Linked DNA regions of Xenopus tropicalis. The protein of the gene in region 3 interacts with the protein of the main gene of each other region in a pairwise test. Links are inferred from orthologs where the notes say so. Each region holds a gene or a part of one and is shown on either strand. Other genes may lie near its edges.

Evidence for each region.
Region 1: the proteins of pcbd1 (region 3) and hnf1b interact in binary tests that used the Homo sapiens proteins (3 or more experiments, as listed by UniProt). The link is inferred for Xenopus tropicalis from reciprocal best matches to the Homo sapiens genes PCBD1 and HNF1B.
Region 2: the proteins of pcbd1 (region 3) and wdyhv1 interact in binary tests that used the Homo sapiens proteins (3 or more experiments, as listed by UniProt). The two-hybrid records come from large-scale screens. The link is inferred for Xenopus tropicalis from reciprocal best matches to the Homo sapiens genes PCBD1 and NTAQ1.
Region 4: the proteins of pcbd1 (region 3) and hnf1a interact in binary tests that used the Homo sapiens proteins (3 or more experiments, as listed by UniProt). The link is inferred for Xenopus tropicalis from reciprocal best matches to the Homo sapiens genes PCBD1 and HNF1A.

Annotation. Positions count from the first base shown.
Region 1 is NC_030678.2:74,715,029-74,723,730, forward strand, and holds the start of hnf1b (hepatocyte nuclear factor 1-beta), read right to left. Parts: upstream 5,523-8,702; 5' UTR 5,198-5,522; coding exon 4,857-5,197; intron 783-4,856; exon of another isoform or gene 737-782; coding exon of another isoform or gene 675-736; intron 1-674. UniProt on the Homo sapiens protein: Transcription factor that binds to the inverted palindrome 5'-GTTAATNATTAAC-3'. Binds to the FPC element in the cAMP regulatory unit of the PLAU gene. Transcriptional activity is increased by coactivator PCBD1.
Region 2 is NC_030682.2:139,835,929-139,842,973, reverse strand, and holds the end of wdyhv1 (protein N-terminal glutamine amidohydrolase), read right to left. Parts: intron 3,869-7,045; coding exon 3,759-3,868; 3' UTR 2,500-3,758; downstream 1-2,499. UniProt on the Homo sapiens protein: Mediates the side-chain deamidation of N-terminal glutamine residues to glutamate, an important step in N-end rule pathway of protein degradation.
Region 3 is NC_030683.2:47,451,463-47,460,036, forward strand, and holds the start of pcbd1 (pterin-4-alpha-carbinolamine dehydratase), read left to right. Parts: upstream 1-3,348; 5' UTR 3,349-3,414; coding exon 3,415-3,417; intron 3,418-8,574. UniProt on the Homo sapiens protein: Involved in tetrahydrobiopterin biosynthesis. Seems to both prevent the formation of 7-pterins and accelerate the formation of quinonoid-BH2. Coactivator for HNF1A-dependent transcription.
Region 4 is NC_030677.2:151,970,854-151,979,456, reverse strand, and holds the start of hnf1a (hepatocyte nuclear factor 1-alpha), read right to left. Parts: upstream 5,126-8,603; 5' UTR 5,003-5,125; coding exon 4,683-5,002; intron 1-4,682. UniProt on the Homo sapiens protein: Transcriptional activator that regulates the tissue specific expression of multiple genes, especially in pancreatic islet cells and in liver. Binds to the inverted palindrome 5'-GTTAATNATTAAC-3'.

The DNA.
Region 1 (8,702 bases), on a different chromosome or scaffold from region 3:
GATAGAAATACACATTTTCCACCAGGGCTTGTAACCCATAGCATCCAATCACATTCTTGTTTTAAAACAGGTGACCAGTAAATTCTTCCATGGGACACACTTTTTGTAACTTTTATAGTTACACACAGTACAAGCCAAAGGCCCATTTTCCAGTAAGCAACAAAACAAGGCCAAAAAAATTATATTGCAAAAACCAGTGAACCCAGAAGAAAAGAAAAAAAAACTATGCTTATTAAGTTCAGTCGTAAAGAAGAAAAGCATGAAAGTTTAAGTGCCTCAAAGCTATGAATAGTTTGGCTTTTACACAAATGTTTTAGCAAGTATTATGTGTAATTTAGTTTTTTTATTATTGCTGTTGTTATTATTAATATTATATTGTTTGCATACTTTTGGACCTTTTCTTCTTAATGACCATTAGAGTGTTAATACTAATTAATGCAGTAGCTATTCTTTAACATTTAAAGCCTGCAGATCGATTTAACAAATATCATGCAGCTTTTGCCTAGAAAAGCTAGAAAATAATTGATCCATGTAAGCAGTTAGAACATTGTACGGATTTTATGTATATTATGTTTTTTTAACTACATATTAATACCCAATTATATAAAGGTTACAATTTAAGGTTTTACAAGATTATTTTCTATATTGCTGTGTTTTTTATTTCTTTTTCTTACTATTCTTCTTCCTTCTGAATTCTCAGCTGAATGCTCCCACTATAGAGGACCACAAGACACATGTTCCTTCCGTAGAAACCTCAGCTGACAGTTTTTAGTGAGACTAATGGCTGCAAGAAAACAAGAAAGGACTGTTGCTATTTTTGATAAGTGGCTAAATGTCACTTGATTGCCAAGCAGTATGCTCCGCCCCAACAAGCAGATGAAATTATATTACTCTTTACAAAATTAAGCTGAACTGTAGCCATGCACAGCAATGCAGGTGTATGACTCTCTCATTAATATACAAACAAAAATAAATGGCTCTTTACATCCACAAAAATACAATTAGCATTTTAGAATTGCACTCAACACATTACTAACACCACCCAACAAAAGCAAGTATGAATGTGGTTGTTAAAAACAAAAACAGCTTGCAAGGAGAAATGATAATGTTAATTAATTAGCCAAATCTATTTTGAGGCAATTCTTTCAGTATGTCATAGAGGGTGTGATTGTGAATGGTTCACATCTGCACACAAAGAGGAAGTGTGGCAGCAGACAAAGAGCTGATTTACAAACATAAGTGCTAAACTGCACAAATGCAGTTGCCAAGAGCAACCAATCAGCAATTAGTTTTAAACAGTCTACTACAAGCTAAAAAATTAAAGCAAAGCTCTGCTTGGTTGCTACTTGTGTAGTTTAGCAGCTATGTTCATAAATAGGGTTTATTTATCAATGAATGTGGAGGAAATTTCCTCCAAACTTCTTATGCATGAACATGCTAACTGGCCTTCGGATTATATGTTTCATAAAGAATCATTCACTTGACTTATCAATAAGTTCTAGTCCTAATAAATATAGCCTTATGGAACAAACAGGTGCAAGCTGCAGCCATTTGCATTATAGTTTTCCTAACTTTTCCATGCTGCTAATAATCCTGACAGGTTGCTTACTTTTATGAAAGTTGTATATGTATTTTAATGCAAATTCTGCAATTCTTCAGTCTGAAGAATTGCAGAATTTACATTAAAATATAATATATAATATAATCCGAAGGCCAGTTAGCACCTGCTCTGGCAAATTTAGTCTGGACTGCACAGTATCATTAAACAGTGGTCCTAACACCTCACTTCTCTGCTAATGGAAATTGATTGGAAATTAATCAGAAAAGCTGTCCAAGATGTTTATACTATTAAAAAAGTTAGTTCTGAAAGTGTATAATTATTCCACTTACCAACTATGAAATTATTTCCTGCTCACGTCAGTAGCACTAAACAAAACATATAACCTTCCTTGGAGGACTCAATTTTGTAGAATTTGGAGTAGTTATTCAACATAAGCAGAGAAAAGAAAGTTAACTGCTAGAAGTTGAATTATCCTTTTATTCATGTAGGACCAACATGTTACTCAGAATTTTTACATACATACATTTAACAGAGATTGTTTATTCCTATTAGTCCCAGTGGTGCTTTCAGCTTAAGGTACCTTTCCCACAAACTAAGTAAATGTATTAACCTCTTTTTCTTAATCCATAGAGATATAGGTAGACTTACAGCTTTATGGGGGCAGAAGGTATTTAATTTAGAAAAATATGCTCCTTCTTTTTCCTGCTGTCCTGCTTGGGAAGTTATCTAAGGAGAATGCACTCATACACTACATGCATGGCCCAATGTCCATTTGACTTATAATCATGGAACAGAATCAGACTGACTGCAGGAAAGTATTTCTGCGCAGTAGGTGTATATTTGTTTAGACTGTGGGACTAGGCAGGAGTTTAGAGATCTAACTTGAGTGTGTAGAAAGGTGAGCATATGGCTAAAGCACACACGGGCAGCTGGCACACACACACACACACACCTGCAAAATATACAACATGAGTCCTTTCTCAGCTGCCAGAAAAAAAGCCTCTGCAAACAGTCGGCAACAATCAAACAGAAAGCAAAGACCCAAAGCCCGAGCACTTACCTGTGTAGGACTATACAAAGACTACAACTAGCTATATGGCGCTATATTAGGGTAGTAAGTCTCCTTATTTCACAATAGCTATGCAGAGAGGACACAAGGAGAATCAGCTATAGAAGAACCTTACTGTATGTGAGCAGTGCACACGAGTTATAGTGAAACAACAAAACATAAACCTATCATTGCTTTCCTTAGTTTAATGCAAGCGTGCGTGTCATGCAGTTGCACTACAACTACAGTCGCGCCACCTGAGAAGCTAAGAAGACACGTTGCAGCTGCAGTATCTGAATGGCTAAAGGTGGCCATTCTCCATTAAGAATAAAACTGAGATACTGTAGTCGCCTGCTAATAAGCGATCAGACTGAAAATCTGAGGGGTTTTCCAGAGAGATCGTTTGATCGTTGCCAAGCTCTATATTAATAGCAACGCACGACTGATTCATGAGTGACCCCCAAGGTGTGTCCTCTGTCTATTCAGGACTCACGGTCAAACACATAAAGAAATAACTGATTTCGGTCATTGCTTCCTTTGTGTATCGAGTAGTTTTGGTGAATAAGCAGCTTGCCAGCTCCGAGTTACTTTATAACAGGATAGTTTTTATCGACCCCTTGATACAGGTACCAACTAAAACGGAAACGGAAATTCCAATTCTATGAAACCTGCAGTAGCCATTCAGTAACATTCCACAAATAATATGTAAAAGCACACAGAATGATCCACTTTAAAATAAGAGATACCTTGTTTATGAGAGTGGCAAAGGCTAGACTCTGCCTGTAACCAGACATCGGAATAAATACGAGCAAAGGCCAATAAATCGTATATAATGTTGATGCTGTCACCCAGCGCAGTCTGCCCCAAGAGCTTTCCCTTCTAGCACTTGCCAATGAATAACCAGCGTCTCTATTCAACCAAACCCCAATCCTTTGTGTATCTTTCTGTTGATGATTTATAGAAATAAATTAATAACCGGACACCACGTGCTTCAGTTTATAATGTATTCTCTCCAGCAAAATAACCTGCACATATTGCTTTAAATTACGTTACATCTAAAGATACCTACAGATACACAACGGATAAACAACCGTAAATTAAAACACTGTTGCAGTTTAGAGGTCAATGTATTGCATGTAGATTTTTGTGTAATTTAATAAAATGTAACGTAATACAGATAATAGTAAATGGGTGTATTAATATTATCTTTAAATATATATATTATTCATGTTCCTATACTAAATTACAGTACAAGAAAATATAAATTTAAAACATTTCTAAAGTTGCCGAAGTTTCCAAGGCCTTCGTACCACTCCAATAATATTGATAGTGTTCGATGTTGATGTTTTAATATTGTCTCGTTTTGTTGCAAAACTAATAGTAACAATTTATAAAAATAGAAACTTACATATACCATTTTCAAAATTCGAATTATACAATAAAGGCATATGTGCAATTATACCTACAATATATTTACAGAACAATGCCATACAGGTACATTAGACATATATTTAGTTGTAAACCCCATGGGAGCGAAGCTAACTTACCTCTGGGAAAGTACACAACTTAATCAGGCCTGCCGATATAGTATTAGCATTTTAAGTTACTACCAGTAGTTAATAATAAATAACGTGGTTGTATTTCGTTGATATTTTGCTGAAGAGAAGGAATAATAAACTATTTGGATAATTAGTAACTAGGCTGTCAGATTAGGAGATCTGGCGGTTGCCTTTAACTTCTGACAGTGATGTGGTACCTACACCAAAAAACGCTTGTTCCAAAAATTAGAGAAATGCTGTTATATGTTAAAAACATTTCTAACTTTAAAAATCGTGCACTTGGTAAAATTGTGTTGAACGAAATCTTGTTTATCAAAAGCCACATTAATGTCTGGCTTTTTTATACGCATTTGACATACAATCATTTTTTTAGTACCAAAAATTACGTTTATATCTAACCTATAGATATATTTGGACATCTTGGTCAGTATCCTAAGCGCCATTAAAATTACAATTTCACTATACAACACAACAAAGGGATGCTAGCGCTGTGATGAGAAATTAGCTAAATAGATCGATATTTATAGAGAGACACACATTTATGCTGGGGTTGTCAATATGATCATCAATAGCACAAGTAAATCGTGTGTTTAAACTCCTAGAAACAAAACTGTGCTTTCAAAACGAGTCCTGGTTTAGAAATGCTAAATATGATTAAAATATAATACGGCTGTCCCTGGGCTCTTACCTCAACATCCTGTCCACTTCTGCCCTTTGCTCTGCTGCCTCCTCCGTATTGAGGGACTGCAGTTCTTTTAGGATTGGAGGGGTATCAAAGTCATCTCCATCCTCTGAGCCCTCATCCCCGGAGAGCTTGCCCTTGTGGTGGTGCCCATTGGTGAGAGTGTGGAATACAGGCTTACTGTCAGCCTCATGTTCCGGGGACATGTGCAAGTTTTCCAGCTTCACCCCAAAGCTTGGGCTGGGGATCATGTCTTCCAAGGCCTGGATCAGGTCCTCTTTGGTTACTCCAGAGTTGAGGAGAGCATTGAGGAGTTCCTGCTGCAAAGGCGATAGCTTGGATACCATTTTAGATGAAAGAAAATAAGGAAAAGGGATAGGGGAGGAAAAAATAAAATCAAGGGATCTGGAATCCCCTTGTCCCAGAGCACCTGTTCCTCTTGTGCTTACAGAGAATCTCACTGCTGAGAGTCTGCTCAGTCTAACTGGCCATGATCTCCTTCAATGGGCAATATAACTCATGCAAATCAGTGGGAAGGCTAACACAACATACAGGATGCAATGAAAGGAGGAGGCTGGGCTCGATTCTCCCTGGTTATGCTTCGACTACAAAGTCTTTTATTGGTTTTGTTTATCGGCCAAACTTTAAGTGAACTTTGGACCTGTTAAGCAAGAAGCCATGAAGTGCAATTAAAATAGAGAGAGAGAGAGAGAGAGAACGAAAATCATAAAAACTCTCACACATATAAACACACTGAAACATTCAGACACTCACACATACAGTCACACATATATTCACATTTACACACACACAGAAACTTACATGCAGTTACACGCATTGACATTTATACACACAGACTTATGCAAGCAATACAATCCTACCCGCATACTTATAAACACATTCACATCTATATACACAAACACATATTAAAATTACACATACCCAGAAACACAAATACATATATGCACTGTTATACACATATAATAACCCACAGCAAATATAAACGCTTATTCATACATATATGATTTAGACAAAGAAACATCAAAATAGTTTAAAAAGATCAGTTGTACAAAAAAAGTGACAGATCTTTAAGAAAAACTAATTGCAGTGATTGGCCTGGAAACTTTTTAGTATATACAAATATACATTTTAATTAGTAAAACTGAGTAAATTCTGTTGGTGTTTTGGAATATTATCTCATATTTAAAGGAGAAACAAAAAAATGCACAGTATTGGCTGCTTATTTTTCACTGCTGTGCTGGGAACAGTGTGAAATGGATCTCCTATGGTCAACCAGAGAACCTGGTTAATTACATATAGCTAAACCTAAGGTTATTGGCATTATATAGGTTATGGCGCAAATATTAAAGGGCCGATGGGTATTGTCCTTGGCTGTGGCACAATGGGAGATACTCTGGTACTTTGGAAAGACAGTCAGATCATGTCTTGGCACCTGTATCACTGCATTATGGCTAAGATTTTAGCTATCCTTTAAACATAGCTTTCTGCACACAGGTTTCATCCCATTTTGAAACCCATTGTTTACCCCTTCAGTAATTTGATTCTTTAATAGTATTGAGAAGGGAGTGATTGAGATAAGGGACACGTTCACTAGAGGTCAATATTTCCTAATTTTAAGATGGAATTTAAATGTTTCTTACAAATGTGTAAATACTATTTTAGAAAGAAAAATGTACAGTATTTATTGACCTTTTTTCCAGTGCTAATAGCTCATATTGGCACTAAAAGCACTGTAATTTAAAATGGCATGTGGGTGAAATAATCCAATGTCGGTACAGAAAGTTAGAATGTAAGAAAATGTGTTTTTGTTTAAAAACAATGAGCTAACAATATAAAGCCACTACTGCACAGAAGCGCATTTAGCTGTATATATGGCAGTGTACAATAACTTGCCCCCTTTTAACGAAACCACGTTTTTTTAAGTTTAGCAAAGTGATAATATCACTTTTGGAAGTAATTAAGTCCCCAATTTTAGTGAATAGGGAGTAATCAAAAAATAATAATTCACAATTGTAGTTGTTAAACAGAAATAGCAAGGCAAAGGAAACAACCTCATAGCATTTTTAAATATGTGATTTCATGAAAAATAAATGTATAAAGTGACATAACAGTCCAGTACTTATACAAGTGCATGGATATAAACCGTTGGCTAATGGTACTCAGTTAAAACTAGTCAAAACGATTAATTGTATAATTTATCCAAACATTTTGCATAGATGTTTTTCTTACAGGTTGTCATCGGCAAGGGATTACTGTAAAGTGTACAACAGTTTCAAATTACTGAAGGGACGGAAATAGTTAAAATAAAAAACAATACAGTACAAAAAGAGACTCTGGTCATATATAATTCAATTGTGTTTTATTAAGCAGTATTTGTAACTTAAAAAAAAATCCTTGTTAAACCAAATAAAAATTTATAAACCCCTCGATCGCAGCAGAGTCGCAAAAACAGATAGAATGCCGGGTTGTCTGAGCTGCAGACCACCTCATTTGATCAGTTTATGGATAATGCTGTTATCCGGACCCAAGCTAGAACAGACTGTTGAAACAATCCCCTGGCTACAAGTAAGCAGTGTCATTGTGAGCAGGTCCTAAGTCAGTCACTGGGTGCATTGTGTGTACAGCAGTCTGATTGTTAGGATTAGAAATATTTATCTGCTCAAATGACACACGTGTTAATGAGATAGAAAGGATAAACGAACACTGTCTGTATTCATTTATTCCAAGCTAATAACATTTTATCCAAACAGGCAATCTTGACTTTGACAAGATAAATTCTGATGATTTACTTCCAAACTAAAAGATGGACTTATATGCAAAACAACAGAAAACAAACAATTGTTTGGGGTGAGCCGAGTGTTCTAGAATTCATACCTCTTATGAGGTGACTAAATATTTTCACATTTGATGCATTTAATCATGTTGATACATTTTACGTTAGTCTATAAAATGACTAGAAACCCCTGCATTAATTGCTACAATGTTGTAGAACAGAGCGACTGATCTACTTACAACAGAATTCACAAATTAGCAATTAACAAAAATATCAAATTCACTGTTAGCAAGCAGTTTTAAATAAAATCGGCGATCTACAAGGGCTGGGGAAATATGTTTAGATGCAGTATAAATTGTTACGTGTATTTCAAAGGGGACTGCAGAGGTTACAAGGAGTTAATGATCCCAGGTGAACTCAGGGCTTCCCATGCTGCACTACCAAACCTGGTGGTTATCAATATTTGCGTTTCCTGCGCGGTGAGGGTTATATCAATAGGTATATAAATATTATATGCGCAGCCACTTGTTGCCTCCCCATTGGGTGCAGTACCTAGTTTCTACCCTGATTCCCACTACTGTTCTGCCTTCACCCTCTATTCGGCTTTCCCAGTAATATCTCACACAGGCAGCGGTGCGACTTTCGCTGAGGTTCCTATTCCCCCTGTGCGACGTTGCAGGGCAAGCAGTCTCCCAAGCCACCCCTCGCAGCCCAATGTCCTAGCAGGGCCACCTGTGCCAGGGGCAGCGACAGCTCTTGCCACCGAGATTCTTTGTACCGCAGGGGGAGCAGAGCTACTGGGACTGTGGGGAGGGCGGGGGAGAAGTTTGCACTTGGTGACTCCACTTGTATCATTGATACTTATTGTTTCCCTAAGTGTTAGGGATTTATGGCTTGTGGGCGGGAAGGTTTGTCTGCTTCCCAACACCTGGATGTATTAATAAACTAGGGCTGCTATATTTAAACTGGCAATTTATAACTAAATGATGTCCAGTATATCGCTGGCAGTCAGTTTTTTTTATTTAAGTCTTCGCTAAGATGTGTTCAAACAGCGCCGC
Region 2 (7,045 bases), on a different chromosome or scaffold from region 3:
AGGGGTTCTGTGCCCATATAAAGGCACAAGGCTGCAGGCTGAGTTATACAGGGAACTCTGAGTATCACTCATGTATTATAAGGGATAATGTACCCCCTACTGTAAATGATAAGGATATTAGCAGTCACTGAGGGGTTCTGTGCCCATATAAAGGCACAAGGCTGCAGGCTGAGTTATACAGGGAACTCTGAGTATCACTCATGTATTATAAGGGATAATGTACAGTAACCTTATCAGTGGGCTACGCTCACCTTGCACCCCCTGCTGTGTTAGTTGTGACAGTGGTTGGACAGGGGGGGCTTGAACTAGTAAAAAAAAATAAAATCTTCCTTAGATTAATCTGCCAACTCCAGTCTGGAGTTAATATGGAAATGCTGAATCCTTCCAAACACATGTTTGTAGGAGATATGTTTATTGAGCTTTATTCAGTGACAAAAAAGTTGTTGGCCTAAGAGAAGCACCAAGGAGCCATATTGAACTTACTCTCTCCCTTAGTACTTTTCCCATTAGCAATACGTTACTTACAGGGAACTTTCTCACAATTAATCCTTTCACAGGGGACACACTCCAATCGCTCCATCCCTAATCGCTCCAAGTTCCTTTCAATACTGCAGAGCAAGCAAGGCCCAGCTTTCCAGAGGGAAGGGAACCTATTTAGAATGTTTTTCTTCTTCAGAAAGCTATTGTATTGGTCTTAGATCCATTCATACAATGGCAACTATGTATTTCTATATTCCTGCTGGTGCGAGTCTATGATGGCTTAGGTTTCTGCCTCCATTGTTGTCATATCTCTCCCTTATGGGCAGCACCTAATTGTTCCATATGGGAGAAAAAAAGGAAAGTTGTGACCAGCCCAACTGGGACCAGTACAGGCAAGACTTTAGCTGAACTTACACCTTGGTCTCTCCATCATCAGTGCCGCCTGGGCAAGCAAATGCCATGTACAGAATTTTTTTGCCAAGGTATGTACTGTGCAAGCTCCAGGACTGAAGATTGCTGGGGAACCAGGAGAGCATGGCAATGTGGAGCTGAGACTTAAAGTACCCCATACTGGTGCATAAAGTGCCGCCATCAGAAACTTTGGGGCTCCATACAAGTTATTCATATGGGGCCCCCATGAACACAAGCCTCCCCTTGTGTGTGCAACAGCTGATGTTACTCTGTAATAACAGGTTCATATAAAGAGGTCCATTGATTAATGTACTAATAGATTCAATTTTCAGCAAATAATTTTTTTTTTTTTTTTAAATGATTCCACTTTCTCTGTAATAATAAAACAGTACCTGTACTTGATCCCAACTAAGATATAATTACCCCTTATTGGGGGCAGAACAGCCCTATTGGGTTTATTTAATGGTTAAATGATTCCCTTTTCTCTGTAATAATAAAACAGTACCTGTACTTGATCCCAACTAAGATATAATTACCCCTTATTGGGGGCAGAACAGCCCTATTGGGTTTATTTAATGGTTAAATGATTCCCTTTTCTCTGTAATAATAAAACAGTACCTGTACTTGATCCCAACTAAGATATAATTACCCCTTATTGGGGCAGAACAGCCCTATTGGGTTTATTTCATGGTTAAATGACTCCCTTTTCTCTGTAATAATAAAACAGTACCTGTACTTGATCCCAACTAAGATATAATTACCCCTTATTGGAGGCAAAACAATCCTATTGGGGTAATTTAATGTTAATATTATTTTTTAGTAGACTTGTGAACGGTGATCCAGATTATGGAAAAAACCCTTATCCGGAAAATCCCAAGTCCCAAGCATTCTGGATAATAGATCCCATACCTGTATTTATCCACAGACAGTCCTAACTAGGGACAAGAAAACGCCTCTCTGGCTTCTGTAGGTACCTACAGTGAACGCCCATCACCAATGATTCCCCTACAGCCCCACCAGTTACATACACTGAGGGGCCACTCTCTGCTTACAGGTGGCACAATCATTGTTTCAGTTATTTCCAGAAAAATGCGCCCAAGATAATTATAGGACTATATGCTCAGATGGAGGGCTGAAGGATTTTGGAGAAATCTGGGGCATGTTTTCACTCTCGTTTTGCTAAATACGCTCCAGAGATTTGTGTAAAACATGTAGTATGGGAATCCTGATGTCTGATAAAAATGGCAATAAAAATGAGTTATGCATAAACGAACCCTTAACAGTAATCTAATGATAAAAATATTCTTTTCTGAGCCCTATTTCTGGTTAGTGTTCCATCTGTCACTGAGCCTTCCATCCATTTTCCAATATGTTGTGCAAAAGGTTCTACTCTCCATCCCCAGGGTCTCCCAGCTCTTACACAATGAAGCGCTGCAACAAAATCTCTTTCTCTTCCAAAAACATTTTGAAGACTCAAAGTGGCAGCCGCTGTTCTTCTCAAACCTCAAGTGGAGAAATGTCAGATTTGTGCAAACCTATGAGATCAGTTACCATATTTCTTACACTTCAAATGTACCCAATAACCCAAAGAATAAAAACGTGGCAATATGTATTTGTAAATCAGTATAATTCTCTTGGCATATGGTACTCGCCATACATCTAAATCAATAAAGCAATAAAATTGAGCTTCACTTGTGTGTTTTTTTACTTTCATATAGGACATCTTTTATTGTGCTTATTTATTTCACTTACTGTATAACAGACTTTTCTTAAGAACATGGGCAAATGAATACGGTTTCATTCAGAGCAATCCTGACCCTTGTCACTGCATATTAACCCTATAAACTAAGCCATCATGGTGACTGAATGGGGACAAGAATTTTGTTTTTGCAAACAGATCCAGGAGCTCTGCTAGACAATTTTTGCTATATTTCTTCCGGTTAGGATATTAAATTCTTGGATATTAGGATATATGTTGATTTTATTTGCGTCACTTTGAAGCTATTCGTGTTTCCTCTTCCCATTATAGCCACATCTTCTATTCAGGCTGGCTTGCCACAATATTTCACTACAGCCGTCTTAATTTATATTATAATCCCAAACGAAAGGACAGAACGGGATGTGGTCTGACAGATCAGGAGCGCGGTATACCGTTACTGGGTCATGGTCAGTTGTAAATGGACTGACCACAACCCAAATATTGCTGTGACATTATATAAAAGTATGCAGTCATGGTTGCTCCCCTTCATTAACTTCATTTCAGTAACCAGTCCAAATTATTTCAGCCAATAAGGAGCACATACCAAGACACCTATTTTCAGTCAATGTTGTATTGCTGCAGTGCTGTACAGCACTAATCAAGGTAGATAAAAGGCTTGTGGCAGCCTGAAATGTATCTGAATTTTTTCTGGCAATTAGTGCCCTACAATTCAGCAGGAACAGCCTCCTAAGCTTCACAGAGACAGCGTATAACTGTGGCAGAATAGATATCCCTACACAATTCTGCAAGACTGTCCCCTATGTTTTTCTATAGCCAGCAGAAACATACCATAAAAAATATGCCACCGTTATGTATTGCCGTAATTGCTGCAATATTTGAAGGTATAGTTGCCCTTAAAGTACCAATTACTGCCAGCGCTGGTGAAAAACATTGTATATAAAGTAGAGCTTTCAGATGGAACTGCTTAATCCGGCAGGCACAGGGATTAAATTCATTTTATCTGAATTTGACACCCAAGTGCAACTCCTGGAACACTCGGAGAGATGAATTAATCATGTGGACTGGAAACTTTAAGAACAATGGCTTCTTACTTCCTCAGCCACAGTGGGCATTGCTGCTTTCACAAAACCTTTCAATGATTTGTGAATCAGACTGTTGCGTCACCAAAGCGTTCTGTAAACTCTGCCAAGGAATATACTGTGCCCCATCCAACCTCAGGGTTCATGCTGATAAAATCGCCCAAGTTCATTGTGGATTCTAGAAAGAAAAACAATTAAGGGAATGGAAATCTAATTAAACTGGAAGAACACATATGTGCTACACTAAAATGCTGTATCTTGAAAGGTCACTTTAATCTAAGATTGTAACACTGTAGGAAGGTGACGAGAATTAATAATAAAGGCGGTGGCTAGCCTGAGAGACAATGGCACGGCTAATAATTATCAGTAGAAATAAAAAGCAGAAGGAAAATATACTATTCACAATCACTTTGGGGGAAGTACGTCCCACCAATATATAATTAATTTCTCCCGATTTTATATTTTCTGGTTTTTACACCAATTTTTACTGGTTCCCTAAAATGTAAAATGGGGGTTTTATTGTATAGGCTACAGCTGACTGATAACTCTCTGTGCTGGCTTTGAAAAAACCTAGAGAGCTATCCCTGCTAAACCCCAAGTGGCGGAGTCCAATGGAGAGTAAGATTTTTTTAGACCAGTTTTGCTGATGATGCCTGTTATGTTGTGAAGCACCTACCCAACTGCTAGGCCATACCCCAATCTGTGTTCTTAAAGGGAAATTATAACATGATAGGGTTTGGATACTTGTGGCCTGCCAGTCATCCCATAGGCAGGCACATACACGGGCAGATATGCTGTCTGAAGTGACCTTTAGTCACTTATAGAGAAGGTCAGATTACTTGTGGATAATAACTTTAGCTGTAGGAAGTAAAGCCAATCAGAAGCAGAAAGGGTCAGCAACGTACTGTCCCGTATTTTATGAGTATAAATTTACAGAGGTTCTTAGGGTTCATGGAAGAGAGGGTGATTCTCCCCCTTTACAGAGAACTGGTAATGTCCCATCAAGCAACTGCAGTGACGGTTTGGTCTGCAATACTTAAAGGAACAGTAACACCAAAAAATGAAAGAGCTTTAAAGTAATAAAAATATAATGCACTGTTGCCCTGCACTGGTAAAACTGGTGTGTTTGCTACAGTAACACTACTATAATTTATATAATAAGCTGCTGTGTAGCCATGGGGGCAGCCATTCAAGCTGGAAAAAAGGAGAAAAGGCACAGGTTACATAGCAGATAACAGATAAGCTCTGTAGAATACAATAGTGTTTTCTCTGTTATCTGCTATGTGCCTGTGCCTTTTCTCCTTTGAATGGCTGCCTCCATGGCTACACAGCAGCTTATTTATATAAATTATAGTAGACTTTTTGAAGTAAACACACAACTTTTACCAGTGCAGGGCAGCAGCACATTATATTTTAGTTACTTTTATACACTTTCATTTTTTGGTGTTACTGTTCCTTTAAAAGAGACATTGCTCAAAATAAAAGAGCCCAGAGTAGAGCAAATAGGCTGATATGAGGTATCCAAGTTCTTAGTTCTAAACAAAAGGCTGGACAGTTGTAACTGTTTTCAATGGTGAATAGGAGCTTAAGGAGGTAGAGTTGTAATGATGCAGAGTTACTTGATAAAGTGTCTGTAATCGTTTGGATCAGTGCTGTCCAACTTCTGCGGTGCCGAGGGCCGGAATTTCTCTAGCATACATGGTGGAGGGCCGCTAATTGAAGCCAGTGTTGGCCACTCCCCCTTTTTTGAACCACACCCACTTCGAGCCACACCCATTTTATCACAATGGTGGTAGTGCAGCAAAAACCCAAATGTTTGGTCCTCACTCCAGGGATATCACCAGTTATTCATATATGAAAGAATTATATTATGTCATATTAAGACACACCCTTAAATCCATATGCCTCCTCCTCCCCTGTGGATAGCACAGCAACCCTCAGCAACATAATTACACACCTTAGGGACCATTTAATGGCTGTTTCCAACTACTAACAAACTCCCAGAACAAACCCCTGCCAGGTTCACCTTTCACAGGCAGCATAGGGCAGGCAGAGTATGGCACACAGACAGCACTCTGCCTCCCTTGTGCCATAAGCTCTTTTGGGCAGGGTCCTCTTCACCTCTTGTATCGGTTATTGGTTCATATGTTACTCTGTATGTCCAATGTATGAAACCCACTTATTGTACAGCTCTGTGGAATATGTTGGTGCTTTATAAATGAATGTTAATAATAATAATACTCTGCCTGCCCTATGCTGCCTGTGTGTGCCATACTCGGCCTGCCCTATGCTGCCTGTGTGTGCCATACTCTGCCTGCCCTTAGCTACCTGTGTGTGCCATACTCTGCCCTATGCTGCCTATGTGCCATACTCTGCCCTATGCTGCCTATGTGCCATACCCTCCCTGCCCTATGCTGCCTATGTGCCATACTATGCCTGCCCTATGCTGTCTGTGTGTTCCATACCCTCCCTGCCCTATACTGCCTATGTGCCATACTCTGCCTGCCCTATGCTGTCTGTGTGTGCCATACCCTCCCTGCCCTATACTGCCTATGTGCCATACTTTGCCTACCCTATGCTGCCTATGTGCCATACTTTGCCTACCCTATACTGCCTATGTGCCATACTTTGCCTACCCTATGCTGTCTGTGTGTGCCATATTCACAGGCAGCATAGTCCAGGCATTACATACAATTTTTGAGGTGTGAACAGGTGAACAATGTGGATGATTACAGCCTGAGCCTGAGGTGTGAACACTGCAAGGGGTGAACAATGCAGAAACTAAAAGGTGTGAACAACACAGGGGATTACATGTTTAAACAATACAGGGGGATTACAGCAGTTAATCTCAGTACTGATACTATTTTAAGTTTACACAAAGGTAAGCCATCAAAGCAGCCAGACAGGTGGGGGGCCACACAGAGGGGGGTCCGCCCGCGGGCCACCAGTTGGACAGCACTGGTTTGGATGATTGGAGTTCCTTCCTAAAGCATGTGTATTGGCAGATACATTAGATGCCCTTTTAGTGAGAAAATACTATTCAGTCAAGCACAATGTTGGTCCAGGGATAGGCCTAATTGCCCGTTAGAAGCTATAAAGGTTTTTTTCTCTTTATGTGGCAAACTGGAGACTAACTCAAATAAGTTCATTTTGCCTTCTTCTGAATCATCTAAAAGTTAGCATTTAGCTGGGAAAAAGGTTGAACTTGATGGATGTGTCTATTTTCAAACTCAACTACCATAAATTGGGGACTGTGGCTATTTTCTCCGTTGTCAGTGACTTTAAAATATAGTTAAGACAGAGGTTAATTACATCTAACACCTTATGATAGTAAGCATGGTAGGGTCCTTAGAGT
Region 3 (8,574 bases):
CCTATACATACCTTACACCTGCATTTGTTAAGGGCCGTAGCCCATGGGGAGTTTAGTCACCCGAAGGTAAATCTTGGGTACTGTAGGTGACAAATCTCTGTGAAATTCTTTCTCATCAGCAATAAAGTGAATCCTGCACCCATTCATAAGCAGGTTGGTTATCAAAAATAAACAAAAAGATCGATGGGGTGCCAGCTATTTCCCCACCGTAGGTTGCACTGCACTTGCAAATGTAAATGGCCCTATTGTGTATGTACTCATATGTTCACTCTTGCCAGAGTTGGGTGTTTGCAAGAGAAAGTCATAAAAAGATGAGAATAAAATAAACTTTAGCAAATTCTAATTACAGTACTTACACTATACACTAGGTGGCACCAGAGATTAAAAAAGCATGCCTGGTTTCTTGCATATATTTTTTTCTTTGCCTGTTTTTGAATAGATGTCCTGAAATCTAGAGACCGGAATTATTTGTTGATGTGGCAGTAGGATTGTCGCCTCATCCGAAAAAAATACAAGCTTTAGTATGTTGTAATCCTTTTATTGGTATTAAGGATCATTTTTACCGATCAGGCTCAGGGGCACTAATGCATAAGGCAAGTTGAGAGACTTGTCCAAGATGGCAGCGCCCCCAGGATTGGCAAAAAGGCTGCTCCTATTAACTTTAAGCAAAAATTAAGTTTTCTCCAGATCTGCACTAGTAATATGCCCCCCACCGGAAGCCCTCTGCCACAAGAAAATATACACGATTGGGGGCAGTATCACAGGATCTTCCTCAGGGTAGCTCTGGGGGCAGAAATGCCCCTGATCAGGCTGGTAAAGTACCGTCCAGGTAGAAACCCTTTTTAGGAGTAATGTATAAGGATCATGCAACATGTTACAAATTTGTTTACATTTTGTCTGTGGAAAGTTTCACAAAAAACATGGTGGCTTCCCGATGCCCCTCTTTTCTGCTACTGAATTAGTGAATGTACATTACAGATGTTCTGGACTAGTACAGGTATAGGATTTATTATCCAGAATGCTTGGTAGTGAACCTAAGTTTTTTTAGATAAGGGATCTTTTCGTAATTTGGATCACAATATCTTGAGTCTGCTAAACATTTAAACATTAAATAAACCCAATAGGATGATTATGCCACCAATACGGATTCATGCAGCTTAGTTATCATCAGGTACTGTTTTTTTGTTATTATAGAGAAAAAGGAAATATTTGTAAAAATGTATTTATGGATAATAGGTTTCCAGATAAGGGATCCCATAACTGTAGAAGATACTCTGCGATATGTACACATCTTAGCTCAGTCACAATATTTTAACCCAAGTAATCGGCAGCAGGCTAGGCCAGTTCATTGGAAGGGTTTCTTAATGTGCTGCACCCCTGAACCTGAAGTGCTGACATTCAGAACATAAAGCTTGAATTTTCTTTATCCACCCACATTAATCTCCTACCCTAATCTTGCCCATTGCAAAGATGACATTTTCTCACAGTGGGGATCCTAATACACACAGGATGGGTTGCCATCCATTTATGTATGAACAGTGAAGAGAACATAGGTAGGAAAAACATGGCAACCCTACTAGGTGGCTATTTGGCATGGTAAAGGTGTGTGCCACTAACACTCTCTGGAGCTGATCTATGCAACAGAAAAGAAATAATAAGATTGCACTGAGTTCATCTAAAAGGGCAATACAGTTTTGACCTATAAATATATTGATTAAATGCAGAAAGGTCTTCAGCATAATGAATAGCTGTGCAAGGCTACAGGTAATTGTTCCCCCAGAGGCCAGCAAAGCATAAGTGTAACATGGAAAGAAAGCCACGCAGAGAAGGGTGCAAATATAAGAACACCATAAGGTACCATGAACACCTTGGCAAGGTATTCTGCTAATCAATACACAGTATTTGAAATTGAAGCTTTTACTTTTCAACCCTCAGTTATTAATGCTGAGTGTCAGGGTCAAACTAGGCTGGTGGAAATCTCAGTGGGCCCCGTCCCTCATGGAGCCCAGCTACCCCACGCACGCTTCATGCCCTGGATCTGTAAGGCAAGGGTATTGGTTTGTGGCGAGCGCTAGAAGAGATATGTGGTTGGGGGAGAGTTTAGAATTGGGGTGGGGGCCTTCATGGCTTGGATTGCTGGCCCCTAGTGGGCCCCAAACTGTAAAGTGTTGTTAACATCCATACACCCATGTACCTCAATACACCTTGTAGATTTTCAGCATTATAATGGCACATGCTCTGTTTTAAGCCACAAAAAAAAAGCCCTGGTTTAAGTGTTTTTATAGAGTGGTGAGAACTGTTTTGAGAAATGAACTACATAAAGCTGAAGTATAAAACGCCATAATCTGCTGAATGGTTCCAGTCACAGATTATGCTGAATGAGTAATCCCACCAATGCAGGGGTGGATAAATTATTCCTTTGACTCTGGGCTGTACCCCAGCTCTGCCCCTTATCCACCCCCGCCCAGCCCTCTTCTTTAATTGTGGCAGGGGTGCCCGAGATGAAGGTCCCTGGGTGGCTGTCTGTATATGGCTGGATTGTCCAAATGTGAATCAGCCACTGCACCAGCTTGTAGAGCTCCGAGTGGACTTCATGCATAAACTTACATTATTATGTCACAGGGAGTTTATGCCAGAGGAGGGGTAAAAAATGTTACATGCACACCAACTGATCACATCACATTTGGGAGGAGTTCACCTTTAAATTAATTTTAGTATATCATAGCGTTTAACCAACTTTTCACCTGGTCTTCATTATTTTTTTTTTTAAATCTTCTAGCTCTGCTTATTTCCAAAATAACAAACGGTGTACATGGGTTCAGTTTTATTGCTTTTTATATTTTTGAATTGTTTTTCTTATTCATCTTCCATTCCACTAAACTTCTGCCTGGTTGCTAGAGTAGTCAAGCCCTAGCAACCAGATAGCAATTGATTACAAGCCAAAGAGCTACAGAACAAAAACCATATAACTATAAATATCTGAGAAACCATATCAATTTAAAGAAAATTGCAAATTTTCTTAGTATAGAGACCTGCTAATGTCAGATACAATAATATGCAAAAGCTTTGTTTCATGTTCCGGCTCTTGTTGCTCTGTTTCTTTTCTTGTTTTTTTTTACTTTATTTTTAAAGTTAATATCACATTACTTTCATACAGTCAAATCAAAAATCCCCCAGGAATATCTGTAACTGATGGGGCTAGTCAGTAGTTCTAAAAAAGAAACATGTCGCCTATGTGTGTAAGGGCAACGCTGAATCACCTTCCCTGCCTCAGTGAGGTCACAGCCCCACGTGTTTGCATTGGGCGGACCCTTCAGCCACGCCCCCTGCCCGTCTCTTAGCTGGAGAAGCAACAGCTGAGCTGATTGTGCTGGGGAGACTGAGACTGCAGATCCACTAGTTGCTTTTGGAGACATGGTAAGGTGATGCTCAAATCCAATTATTAGATGAATATTGCAGCAAATGGAAAAATAAGTCGGCTGCTGTAATTATTGAAAGGAAAAACAACACAGCAGAGGAGGCAAAGTGCGTTAGTTAATGAGTAGCTATGGGAGCAATGTAGCATGATAAGCCAAGGGAAATGAACTTTGCTATATATTCTCTTGCTAGAGTATCTATTGGAACCTGTAGCACTAAATATGAATATTTTCACTCTATGTGCTTATGGCTTCTCAAAAATGAGTTATGGTTGTGGTTTTGTTATTGATGTGTAGCACAGTTAAGGTAAAGGACTTATTTGTGAATGAATTGGCCACTGCAGTAGGTCGGTGTGATGCCCTTGTTACTGATAATGCTGTAGCCCAAAAATGCCCTTTTTGCAGGCTTCTAATTAATATAATCCACTGTGTCTTTGAAGATGCTGGAAGGTGTAGTTTAATGTATGTTTAGTGCCTGTTAAGAACTACAATTCCCAGCATTCTGCACCAGCTTTAGAAGTGCATTGGTATCAGCTGTATTTCTCAATATCTGGAGGGCAATAGATATGACAGAACCTATTTAAGTAAATAACAAGTTATTTCACTGTGTGTGTTTTGTACAGTCCATAGTAGACTCCATAGATTGTGTGCAAGAGCTTTGTCCATAGCAGAGTATTGCCTAATAGAGGAATAAACCTAATTTAAAACATGAGTGGCACATCTGGAGTCATTTTTCTGAAAGGATAGTTGAAAGGGAGCAAAAATGAAAAACACATGTCAGTCACATAGGAAAGGTTATCCTACTGCTCGTTTGTGTTTATGTAAGCTTTATCCTGTGTGTATGTTCATTTTAACAATCCGCCCACAATAACAAGTCATTAAAGGGGATCTAAACCCACCAAAACCGATGCATAATGAAAATGTAATTAGAAGCAACTTTCCAATGTGCATTAAGATGCCCAACGATTTTAATAGATTTATAAATGTAATTGCTATTTAAAACAATATTCGTTTATCCTTGTTGTTTTCTGACATTTTAGCAGATATCTGTTCTTGTCTCCTTAATCAGTGTGCATCTGCTGCATTGCTTTAGGAGTCAGAACCAGTGGTGAAGAAAATATAAGAAGACAGACAGGAACTGCTTTTAATAAAGCATATGACTGATACATACAAAAGGGGTTTCTTAAAGGAACAGTAACACCAAAAAAATTAAAGAGTTTTAAAGTAAATGAAATATAATGTACTGTTGCCCTGCACTGGTAAAAGTTGTGTGTTTGCTACAGTAACACTACTATAGTTTATATAAATAAGCTGCTGTGTAGCCCCGAGGGCAGCCATTCAAGCTGGAAAAAAGGAGAAAAGGCACAGGTTACATAGCAGATAATGGATGCTTTCTGTAGAATACAATAGTGTTTTATCTGTTATCTGCTAAGTGCCTGTGCCATTTCTCCTTTGAATGGCTGCCCCCATGGCTACACAGCTGCATTCTTTATATAAACTATAGTAGTGTTTCTGAGGCAAACACACCAGTTGTACCAATGCAGGGCAGCAGTAAATTATATTGTAATTACTTTTATACACTTGAATTTTTGGTGTTACTGTTCCTTTAAGGCTTTTTCCTAGGTTATCTCTTTCTGTTGAGGATAGGCTCCTTGTATGCTTCCTCCCATGGCCAAATAATCAGTTCATATGGTTTACAGCACTGCCTCTATACTAATGACACTTAGGGGCTCATTAATCAAAGTATGATAGCTTTTGAATAAAAAAAAAAAATCTTATTTTTTTTTAAGTTAATTTGTGTGACTTTTTCTTACTTTGCGAGAAAAAGTGCAACAGCTTGTGCGGCAAAATCATATTTGTCGCTCCGAGTACAAAAGTTTTGGATTCATTCAAGCTTCGGTATCGTGACTTTCCTTGGGCCAGGTTGGAGCTGCAGAGTGCCATTGAGTTCTATGGGAGACTTTCCTTGGGCCAGGTTGGAGCTGCAGAGTGCCATTGAGCCCTATGGGAGACTTTTCTTGGGTAAGGTTGGAGCTGCAGAGTGCCATTGAGCCCTATGGGAGACTTTCCTTGGGCCAGGTTGGAGCTGCAGAGTGCCATTGAGCCCTATGGGAGACTTTCCTTGGGCCGGGTTGGAGCTGCAGAGTGCCATTGAGCCCTATGGGAGACTTTCCTTGGGCCAGGTTGGAGCTGCAGAGTGCCATTGAGTCCTATGGGAGACTTTCCTTGGGCCAGGTTGGAGCTGCAGAGTGCCATTGAGCCCTATGGGAGACTTTCCTTGGGCCGGGTTGGAGCTGCAGAGTGCCATTGAGTCCTATGGGAGACTTTCCTTGGGCCAGGTTGGAGCTGCAGAGTGCCATTGAGCCCTATGGGAGACTTGCCTTGGGCCAGGTTGGAGCTGCAGAGTGCCATTGAGCCCTATGGGAGACTTTCCTTGGGACGGGTTGGAGCTGCAGAGTGCCATTGAGCCCTATGGGAGACTTTCCTTGGGCCAGGTTGGAGCTGCAGAGTGCCATTGAGTCCTATGAGAGGCTTCCAAAATCATGCACGATCAAAGTCAGAAAGGTTTTCCCGCTGTTTACGATCGTTCGTATACGAAAATTTCAGGACTTTTGGATCACCAATCCGATATTATCGTGACTAATATGATTTCTCCTAATTATTCTGTTATGTCACATATTGACAACATTTCACTACCAGTCTGTAACTACCTCGCAACATTTGTCTCCTATGATTGTTCACATATAAATTTATTTTTATTCTCACATAGGCTACTGGCAAATGGAGTGGTTGTTGTGCAGGGGAGAAACTCTAAAAGTGCCCCTGCTGGCACCCATTCCTTAGATAGAAAGCACCTAAAAACGCCAGTGCAGTAAATTTCTATCCAGAAGACAAGCATTTGGATGTTTTCAGGCCAATAACTGTTTGTGCTATATGTTTTGTACCGGTTTCCATTAATGGAGAACTAAACAAGTAGACTAGAAATGTTGTACATTATCTCTGCTAAAACACACTTGGAGACAATTAACAGTATTGTCTATTTTGTAGTCAGGGCAAGTAGCTGGCTTCAAGTAGCTCCATGTGTTAAAGTAATTGAAATATAATGTACTGTGGCCCTGCACTGGTGAAACTGGGATGTTTGCTTCAGGAACACTACTATAGTTTATATAAATAAGCTGCTGTGTAGCCATGGGGGCAGCCATTCAAGCTGGAAAAAAGGAGAAAAGGCACAGGTTACATAGCAGATAACAGATAAGACACCATTGTATTCTACAGGGTTTATCTGTTAGCTGCTATATAACCTGTGCCTTTTCTTCTTTTGAATGGCTGCCCCCATGGCTACACACCAGGGTTTATATAAACTCTAGTAATGTTTCTGAAGCAAACACACAATTTTTACCAGTGCAGGGCAGCAGTACATTATAGTTTCATTTCTTTAAAATATATACATTTTTTTCTTATTATTATTCTTAGTGCCCCCCATTTTCCAAATGCTACTTCTCCTACAGTTTTAGGGGTACAACACCCAAACTCCCCACACATCTTCGCCCTATAGCAGAGCAGGTTGCTTTTGCTTTTCTAAGCGATCCCCCCCCCCCCCGTCTTTTTGTGGCGCCGCTCCGAACACCCCAATTTTCTCTGACTTTGACAGGGAAGATTTTCAAACTGCTACCACTCTTACAGCTACACTCCCCAAACTTGATTAACATAATAATGGGGTCACCCCGAATGAAACCGCGACATTTGTTGGATGACCCCAAAGTGGGAGGGGCCAACAACAGCCACTCAAATTTCACCCATTGACTTTTATGGGGAAATTGAAACTGCTGCCAATCTTACAGCTTTGAGGCTACACTCCCCAAACTTGAATCACACAGTCATGGGGTCAGCCTGAATGAAAATATGATGGTTGTTGGATGCCCAAACGTGGGCGGAGCTGTGAACAGCCAATCAGATTTTACCTATTGACTTGGTGGAAATCCAACCTGCTGCCATTCTCACAGTAATAACACCGGGGCCCCAAACTTTGCAGAGTTAGGCACAAGGAAAGAAAAAGTGGGTGGAGCCACCAACAGCCAACCAGATTTTACCTATTGACTTTCAATAGGGAAATTCAACCTGCTGCCATTCCCACAGTATTAACCCCAGGGTCCCCAAACTTTTCACAGTTGGTCACTAGGGGACTGCAGCTTTAGTTTTGAAAAAAAAATGGGCGGAGCCACCAACAGCCAATCAGATTTCACCTATTGAATTTTATTGGTTTGATGCCAGGGTACCCAAACTTTGCACAGTCAGTCACTGCGTGACTACGTAGTCAAAGTTAGGAAAAATGGGCGGGGCCGCCAAAAGCATATCTTTCAATGTTTTCAGTGGGGAAATTTTAACTGCTGCCATTCTCACATGCTTAATGTCAGGGTCCCCAAACTTTGCACAGTTTGTCACTGGGTGACTATGTTCCAAGTTTAGAAAAGTGGGCGGGGCCAACAACAGCCAATCCGATTTCACCTATAGACTTCATGTGTTTAAATTTAAACTGCTGCCATTCTTTAAATATTAAAACTAAGGTCTCCAAACTTTGCAGAGCTAGTCACCAGGTAACTGCGGTTCAGAGTTTGGAAAAGTGGGTGGAGCCACCAGCAGCCAATCAGATTTTAACTATTGGTTTTCAATGGGGAAATTCAACCTGATGCCATTTTCACAGTATTAACACCAGGGCCATTAGGGGACTGCATTTTTAGGTGTTAAAAAGTGGGTGGAGCCACCAACAGCCAATCAGACTTCACCTATTGAATTTTTTTTGTTTAAATTTAAAATGCTGCCTTTCTAACACTATTTATGTCAGGGTTCCCAAACTTTGCAAATTCAGTCACTGGGTGACTACATATTCAGGGTTAGAACAAGTGGGCGGAGCCACCAACAGCCAACCCATTTCCACCCATTAAATTTCATTAGTTTATATTTAACTTATGCCATTATTTAAGTATTAATTCCAGAGTTTTTAAACTTCCCAGAGTTACTCACTGGGTATTTGCCGTTCAAAGTTAGCAAAAAGTGGGTGGAGACACCAACAGCCAATCACATTTCACCTATTTACTTTCAATGGTGAAGTGTAAAATGCTGTCAGTCTCACAATTTTTATGTCTAAGTTCCCAAACTT
Region 4 (8,603 bases), on a different chromosome or scaffold from region 3:
TAGTCGCCCGCAAACAGGGAGATTTGTCGCAGGCGACTAATCTCCCCGTGTGCCAGAGCCCTTAAACTGGACAGACCTCTAGTGATAGTGAAATTAGTCCTTTGTAAACAAGTTGCCCAACAGTCAATGTGTGACCCTGTTACTGATTACAGGCAGGTGGGAAGCCAGTTGACCCTAGCTTTCCTTTAGCACATATAGAGAGGAGAGGTAACCCTGACAACTCAATCAGTGTAATTTGGGCATGAAAATGTCTGGTGAAAAATATTTGCAGGTCATTTAGTTAGTTTTAGTTAGTTCTGGAATAGAGTTGCATGTGACCAGTTTAAACTGCATGGAAAGCAGAGGTTTAACAGCAGAGGTAATAAGATGTAGAAAATGCAATACAGCCTTGACCTCAACAGGCTCCCTAAACCTAAATGAGACAGCTCTGTTCCTTAGCCCCAGACATTATATTATTTGAGTCCTGTATTTGTACTACCAGCCGGTATTCATTATCTATGGCCCATGTCATGCTGTTGAAGTGATTGCTGTGTGGTCTGAACAAGTGTTAAAGTGGGCGCAAGCAAGTAATTTGATCTTTTGGGAAGACAAAAAACAGATGAGAGGATTTAAAATACAACACCTCTGTCACTTGCCCAGCCTCATAAATGTGCACATTCAAGTTATTCTGGCTAGAACCTTTTGTCTGCACAGAATCTATGCATATTGTATATAAAAATAGTATTTCTTTAGAAATTCCCTAATTCTAATTTTGGTGTAGTTCTTGAAATAGGTGAGGCCTAGATATAGACTCCAGAGGCTGGAGAGAGAAGCTGATTTAATAAAATTGTATCATGGAGAAAGGAAGTACAGCAGTTACATTTTATATACTGTAAGGAGAGAAGAGCAATGGAGATCCATTATATGGATAGAGAGATAGAGGTTTGGGAGTGTATTAGAGAGAAGAAAAGTAAACATTTTGGTAGAGATGAAAGGTAATGTGGAATGTTACAAATTACTGGGAAGATATATATATATATATATATATATATATATATATTTATATATATATATATTTATATTTATATATATATATATATATATATATATATATATATATACAGAGAAAAACAGAGCACACCCTAATAGTAATCAACTGCCCCGGGTGCTTGCAAAAAACATGTATAAAGCAAGACAGTGAGCCGCACACACAGGGACTTAGTTAGAAAACAAAAAATTTTTATTAATGAAAAAAATCCAACGTTTCGAGCACCGTGCTCTTCCTCAGGGAAAAACCCCTGAGGAAGAGCACAGTTGGTGCTCGAAACGTTGGATTTTTTTCATTAATAAAAATTTTTTGTTTTCTAACTAAGTCCCTGTGTGTGCGGCTCACTGTCTTGCTTTATATATATATATATATATATATATATATATATATATATATATATATATATATATATATATATATATATATATATATATATATATATATATATATATATATATAATGGTTCAGGTCTGATGCATTTATCTTATCATGAAGTAAGGAAATGGCAAATAAATTATGCATTTTTAACGCAGAACCTGCATTTGATGCATATAGTTGTATAAAGTTTATATGTAGGCACAGGTGTTTATACTGCCTATTTTAGGACACACAGAGCTACTTAGTAGGAGCTACTTGTCATGGCTACTAAATACCTTGCTATAGACAATACTGAAAATCGCCTCTGCTAAAACACACTTATAGACAATTATTAGTAAATGATTAGGATTGTCTGTTTCTGTAGCCACTAAAAGTAGCTGTTACTAGTAGCTCTGTATGTCTTCATGCTTAACTATATACCCTACCTTACCAGTGACAGTGCCATTGTCTTTTTTGGATATGGCACAATAAAGAAAATAATAGCAAAACTGCAGCAATGTAATTTATAGTTTGACAGAGAGGTTTTTTTCCCCTACAGAATAATAAATACCCGGGGGAGTCTTGTTTACTCAAAGCAAACCTCTAGGTGCCCATTTACTACTACTGTGCCTTAGCACTTATTGTAACAGAAGGTACACTGCCCTTGCTATCTTTTAAAAGTAGGGTTCACTGTATATTTTGCACAAGCTATTTCTTTTGCTCAAACTGATAAGCATGCAAATGGCATGAAAGAGCACATGATCATAACACCTATATCCACCTAAATTGTAAACGCAATTTGTGCTTGATTTACAAACAGGTGCAAACTTTCCCAATGGTACTTCTGGAAATAAAAAGATATCAAATTAATCTAATTTTCCTTTTGCCCACTGCTGGTAAATGAGGACCTGTGATTTAACTGCATTTTTTAAAGGCGACCTGTCACCCAGTCATAAACATGCACTTAAGACATCATTGTACTGCTCACATCCCCTACTCACTATAATGTAATTATGCAGGCTGTGTATGTGCATCAAGTCCATATTCCAGTGCATACAGCAGATTTTTGAATGATGCAAAGCTTGCGTTAATAAGTATCCACAAAATGGCTCCTGCCTGCTTGCTCTTTATTGTGAATTCTAAGACTGAAGGAAACAAGAATACAAGAGTAATAAAAGAGGGTTTTTAATTATTTCTAAGGGTTACAGGTCTCCTTTAAGTAGATGTTGTCCAAGTTGGCAGCTTATTAGTCTGTGTATGAGGCCTTCGGGAAGGCCTGCCTAACCGATATCTGACCAAAAGTTAGGAAGGTTTGCAAAGCCTGTCAGACAAGGACTGGAATGGCACATTGATGTAGCCAGGTCTCAGTGGGTCCACAGGATGATCATTGAACCCCCCTGATCAAGATTTGGCCCAGCATGATGTTTAGATCAGTGCAACATTCTGAGCAAGAATAAGAAACTATAATGGATCTAATGGACACACAAACCTTCATACAAAACACAGTCCCCAACCCCCACAGCAGGTGCTGATTCACTCTGTTGCCGATACCAGCTTATCTCAGTACAAAGTCCAACTCATAAACAAATAATGACTGCTTCATACAAACCCTGGGGGAGGGAACACCAAATGGACCAGTTGAAAATCAAGGGGTTCATGGCGAAAAGTGTATTGCTTTACACAAACATGTTATTAGAACGAGCAGGCAGTTTATGATTAAATGTGAATCAGCACTTGTTAACTTTGACTAGGCCTCCTTGTTAAACCAATGACACATTTGGTATATCCTAAAATTATCTGGTATCTTAAATAAAAAGACATTTGTTAATTAATAAAAGTGCATGAGAATTATTCAGTCTGAAATGTCTTATAAGAATTCACCCTAGTTGGAACAATGGTGCCCTACATTTTTTATGTTTTCTTAATCTGATGCCCCTCGTTTCCTCGCCTCATCCTTAGAGGTTATTTCTAAGGGCGGTTTCACCTCCCTTTTGTTCCGTGAACAATAAGTAACCCAGTTAGTTAGTTATCAACTCAGAGGAAACAAGAAGCTGGTTGATAATTTATAGCACCTCAACCAATTTAAATGAAAAGTCCATATGAAATGATTTTCATCCTAGGAGACCCAAAACAGACAGATGCCTTGCCTGGCTCATGGCTAGTTGTCAGACTGGATGGTGCTAGAGAACAATGGCTACAAAGCAAAGCATTAAAAGGAAAATGTAAACTTTGAACTATGCTGAATTTGAAAGAAGTCTGGAAAGAAAAGGAGAAAAATGGGCACATTAGAAGGTCATGTCTGAATATTTCTTCCGGGACAAGGCATGTCCTAATACAAAACCTCTGAAGAGAATACATTGCAATTACAGTTGTTTCCAAACCTCTAGGCTGCATATTGGGAGTGGAAAGTAACAAGACATGGAATTTATCATGGTTGATGGGCCTGCTGTACAGCACATTCTATAATTGCAGCGGATGGGTTAACCATTAGAAGTTAATCATCACAAAAGGTAGAGGCCATTTGGTTTATAAATGTTTAAATTATAGAGGATGTGGGTAATTAGTAACCAGTGCGGGCCCCCTGAGCCCAAGTGATCGGCAGAACCCACACTACCTGAAGACAGGGAACTGAACTTACAGCACCCTAAAGAGTGGAAGAACGGGATAACATTAAGAAATGGACAATACCAGAAGAGCAAGCAAAAAGGAACCTTAAAAAGCAAATAATGTTTACACTACTTAAGGATCAATACCCTGGATTTGGATTTTTTATCCAGCAAAACATAAATGCAGTAGATAAAAGAAGCCATGAAAATATCAATGGGCTTATTTCAAGATAAACAAAATTGCTAAATATTGTAAAAATGGACCAAACAATGCCTGAGGTAGAGAAGAAGAAATGTCTCTTTTACTGTCTTTCATCCCAGCTGGCAAGAGAATATTAGAGGGATTTGGTGGAGAAATTGATTGGTCTGTGTTAAACTTGTTTCACCAGGGATTCCTACCCAATTTTCCAACTGAAGATATAGGTATGCCCCTTTATGAACTGCAGTCATCCCAATGGGGCATTTAAGATTTCGACTTTTTTCATCCAATTTGGAGGGAATACATAAACTTCTATGGGAAATGAGCTTTGTTTAGGTGAGTGTTGGTACAGTGGGTGTAGATTTGGGAATATGGATAGAAAAAGGGAAGGTGGAGTGAAAAATAGTGTGAAAGATTACAAGACAGAGAACCAAGGATATCAAGTGTAGGACTAGGTGATATAGAGAAGGCATAAGAGGCACATAGGTCTTACTGCAGTAGACGTTCCACCACGGCCTTCTGATGAGCAGCCTCTTCAGGGCTCAGCCTCTCTAACTCTTTCATAATGGGTGGTGTGAAGTCCCCACCATCATCAGAACTTTCATCTTCTGATATCTGAGGATCCCCTAACCCATTAGGTAGTTGCACACAGTTCTCTCCCTCGTCCAGGTTTCTAATATCATCCAAAGGGACATTGGGATATGTGTAATCTTCACCATCAGCCAATGCTTTTTTCAGAGCCTCCTTTGTCACCCCAGACTCTAACAGAGCCCGAAGAAGCTCTCGCTGCAGGTAACTGAGCTGAGACGCCATCCTCGCTGTTGCCTTCTACTGCCTCACCATCCTGCGGCTCTAACACGGATCAGCGGGCGGGAGTCCATGCTCTACCCACCTTCTGTTTCCTCCTCCCCCCAAAAAACACACTGTACAGCCACAACCAGCAAGTGGTCACCCCCCGGACAGGCTTCTCTGAGACATAGATAAGGGACCCCTGTCACTCTCTGTTTACATCAGAGCAGAGTAAATCCTCCAAGGTTCATATTTATCCCTGTGCTTTGCAAGTTACTGAACTTTGGACCCCAACTCTGCACAAAGTGCACGAGTTAGAGAGGGGGGAGTGCAGAGGAATATGAGGAGGGGTAGAAGAGAGAAGGAAATTCCAAAAGTTTAAGAGAGAAATATTAGGAAATATGGTAAAAGTAAGAGAATGAGAAGGTGAAAGTGGCACAAACCACCAGGTAAAGGACAATGCAACAGAGACGAGAAAAAAAGCTGTGAGTGGCTGAAACCTGAAAGAACTTACATGGAGAATACACATACATAGTAACCTAGTAGTTGAAGTTGAAAAAACACACATTTATCAAATACAATAAATAAATGCATAGAGAAAAATATCGCAAGGGGAACTCGAAAGAAAGACACTGGGAGGAAGGCACCAAGGAGAGAAGGAAAGTGACTACTTTAATTTATTTAATAAAACCCTACCTGATGTTTTTAAATATTGGTCTATTTATGTTTTGTTTTGTTTTTTTTTAACCTAATGGTTTAATTAAAGGCATTATACAACTGTAATTCTAACATTAATGTGTGATTATCCACACACTAAAAGGGTTAAAATAATTTTAGTTAGGAATTTAATCTCTTCCCCAGTTAGATAGTTCTGTTAACAAGGGAAGTCATAGAGACAATAACAACGGTGTCTTATTGATTTACAGTATACTGGAGGTACATCGCTTTTCTGACCTTACAGGTATTCTGTTCATATATAATAAAAGCACATGTGGAATCCACATTTGTGGATTTAAAATATTTAAGTGTATTACTCGCCAGAGTGAAAAATACAATGTAGCAGAATGGTATTTCTCTCCTCCTGTACTCAGGATCGGACTGGGTCAGACCCGATCCCTGTTACCACTCTCCCGGCCACCGATGTCCTCACCTGACACGTTTCACTTACTCGCGTTCAGGAAAGGATGTCTGGCGGGTGGCAGGGGGTGCAGGGGACGCGGGGTACCTTGTGTGTGGGCCCTGCACCCCCCAGTCCGACACTGCTTGTACTGCATCTCCTCAATCTTACAAATGGTGGATTTTTAACTTAAAGATATACAGTAGAGAACTACTGCTACAAATCGTCAGCTGGCAATGACTTCTGGGTGCCCTGGTCAGTCAGCAAGCTACTGCAGGGGAAGAGGCATGTGGCATATTGTACATGTGCTGCTATGCACCACAACACCCAGGAATGAACTTGTCTCAAAAAAACACTTCCGTCATGGAAAACAACTAATCTTTTCACACCTTGCATAAGCACAGCCACTTTGTTTAAATGTAGCATGCTGTGCTTGCTGCTTGCTGCTACTGCTGGGTGTCCTGGCAGGGATAGTGTTAAGTAAATAAAAAGTCTAAGCACTTTATTGTGTAGTTGCGGCTTCAGCTGTCACTACCAAGATCTCTAGATGGCATCATCACAACAAGGGTCACTGTAAAATGAAAAACAAAATTGAAAATTATGAGAGCAGCCTGAGGCCCACCAGCTCTTGGGGGTAATAGGGACAAATGCCTGGATTACACCATAGGATAGCATAGGATATGTGTAACACTTGCAAGTGCAGTTGTGGTCCCCATATTTTGCCAGCAGTTAGTTGCATGTAAAACCACTTTTATTAAAGGTACTTGCATCAAATTGTGCTCCTTCCACTTCTGTATAATTGTGCTCAGAGCCACTCCTCAACACAATTCCTTTCTGCCTTCTGTTCCAACTGCTGCTGCTGCACCTATTGACACAGAGAAACCCTGAAGCTTCTGACCAGACATTAGTTTCAAGGCTCCTTTGCATACAGTGTTAAAAGGTGCAGCACACTTGCGCCTAAAGAATATGGCACAGACGTCACTCGCATGACAAAACTGGATTTCCGTACATTTGTGCCTGGTTTGTACGCAGTTGCACAGAGTTGAGACATAGATTTATTCAGATTTTTCCTGTTGTCAGCAGACCCGACCCTAGCTGGTGCTACCCCTCCCGACCACTCCTCCCCTGATGCGTCAAATTTATGCGTTTGGAGGAGGACGTCGGGTGGGGGGCCCTACGAGGTGGGTTAGGGGGGCCCCTGCGGGGGGGGTTAGGGGATGCGCCTGGCTGGGGGCACCTGCAGGGCCTCTGGAACAGGAGCCCCGGTGGGCCCTTCACCCCCCAGTCCAACCCTGGTTGTCAGCAATGGAACACAACAGAAAAAATAGTTTTCTCTTGATGCGTTTTCAGTTTTTAAATATCTGCTCACAATATAAACATAAAACAGCAATAACCCATCTTCTCCTAAAAACAACAGTCTATGTATAAGTCAGGGGGTGCAGATTGGTGCTATATCTTCGAAAGAAACTGGTGAGTGCAATCTGTACATGGGTATGTGCCTCATGCATCCTACAATTTTTTCTATTCTCTAGTCAGTATTAATAAGCATCTTTGTTTGCCCCATAAATCCAGTTTTACTTTATATTTTAATTTAACCCTTCAAGTGCTAGCAAAGTAGCTGAAGCTGATACCGTGATTTCCATAGGGTTACATGTAGTCAGGTAACACAGAATTTACACATTGTCGTGTCAGCACTGTAGTGTCTATAATGAACATCTCTTTAAAGGTTAAACATTACATGCATGACTTTTGGCCTGTGTTTAGGTGTGTTTGCCAAAGGCATAAACTACCATTTTCAATTATTATTATTATTCCAAATAAAAAAAATTCCCTTTACACATTTCTGCATCATACAGTGTGAAGGCAAAATACACTTTAAGGGGCACATTCATTAAAGTACGAATCTGAATCACGAAATCTGATAATTTCTGATGATTGCAAATGTCCCGAATATTCCATTTGTTTGAATACTAAGATTTCGTACTTACGATCCGAAATTTTGGTATTGAAAAGTTTTGTATCCGAACGATCTTAAACGGCGGAAAAACCTTTCTGAGTTTGAACCTTCAGTGCATGATTTTGGAAGCCTCCCATAGGACTCAGTGGCACTCTGCAGCTCCAACCTGGCCCAAGGAAAGTCTCCCATAGGACTCAATGGCACTCTGCAGCTCCAACCTGGCCCAAGGAAAGTCTCCCATAGGGCTCAATGGCATTCTGCAGCTCCAACCCGGCCCAAGGAAAGTCTCCCATAGGGCTCAATGGCACTCTGCAGCTCCAACTCGGCCCAAGGAAAGTCTCCCATAGGGCTCAATGGCACTCTGCAGCTCCAACCTGGCCCAAGGAAAGTCTCCCATAGGGCTCAATGGCACTCTGCAGCTCCAACCTGGCCCAAGGAAAGCCTCCCATAGGGCTCAATGGCACTCTGCAGCTCCAACCTGGCCCAAGGAAAGTCTCCCATAGGGCTCAATGGCACTCTGCAGCTCCAACCTGGCCCAAGGAAAACCTCCC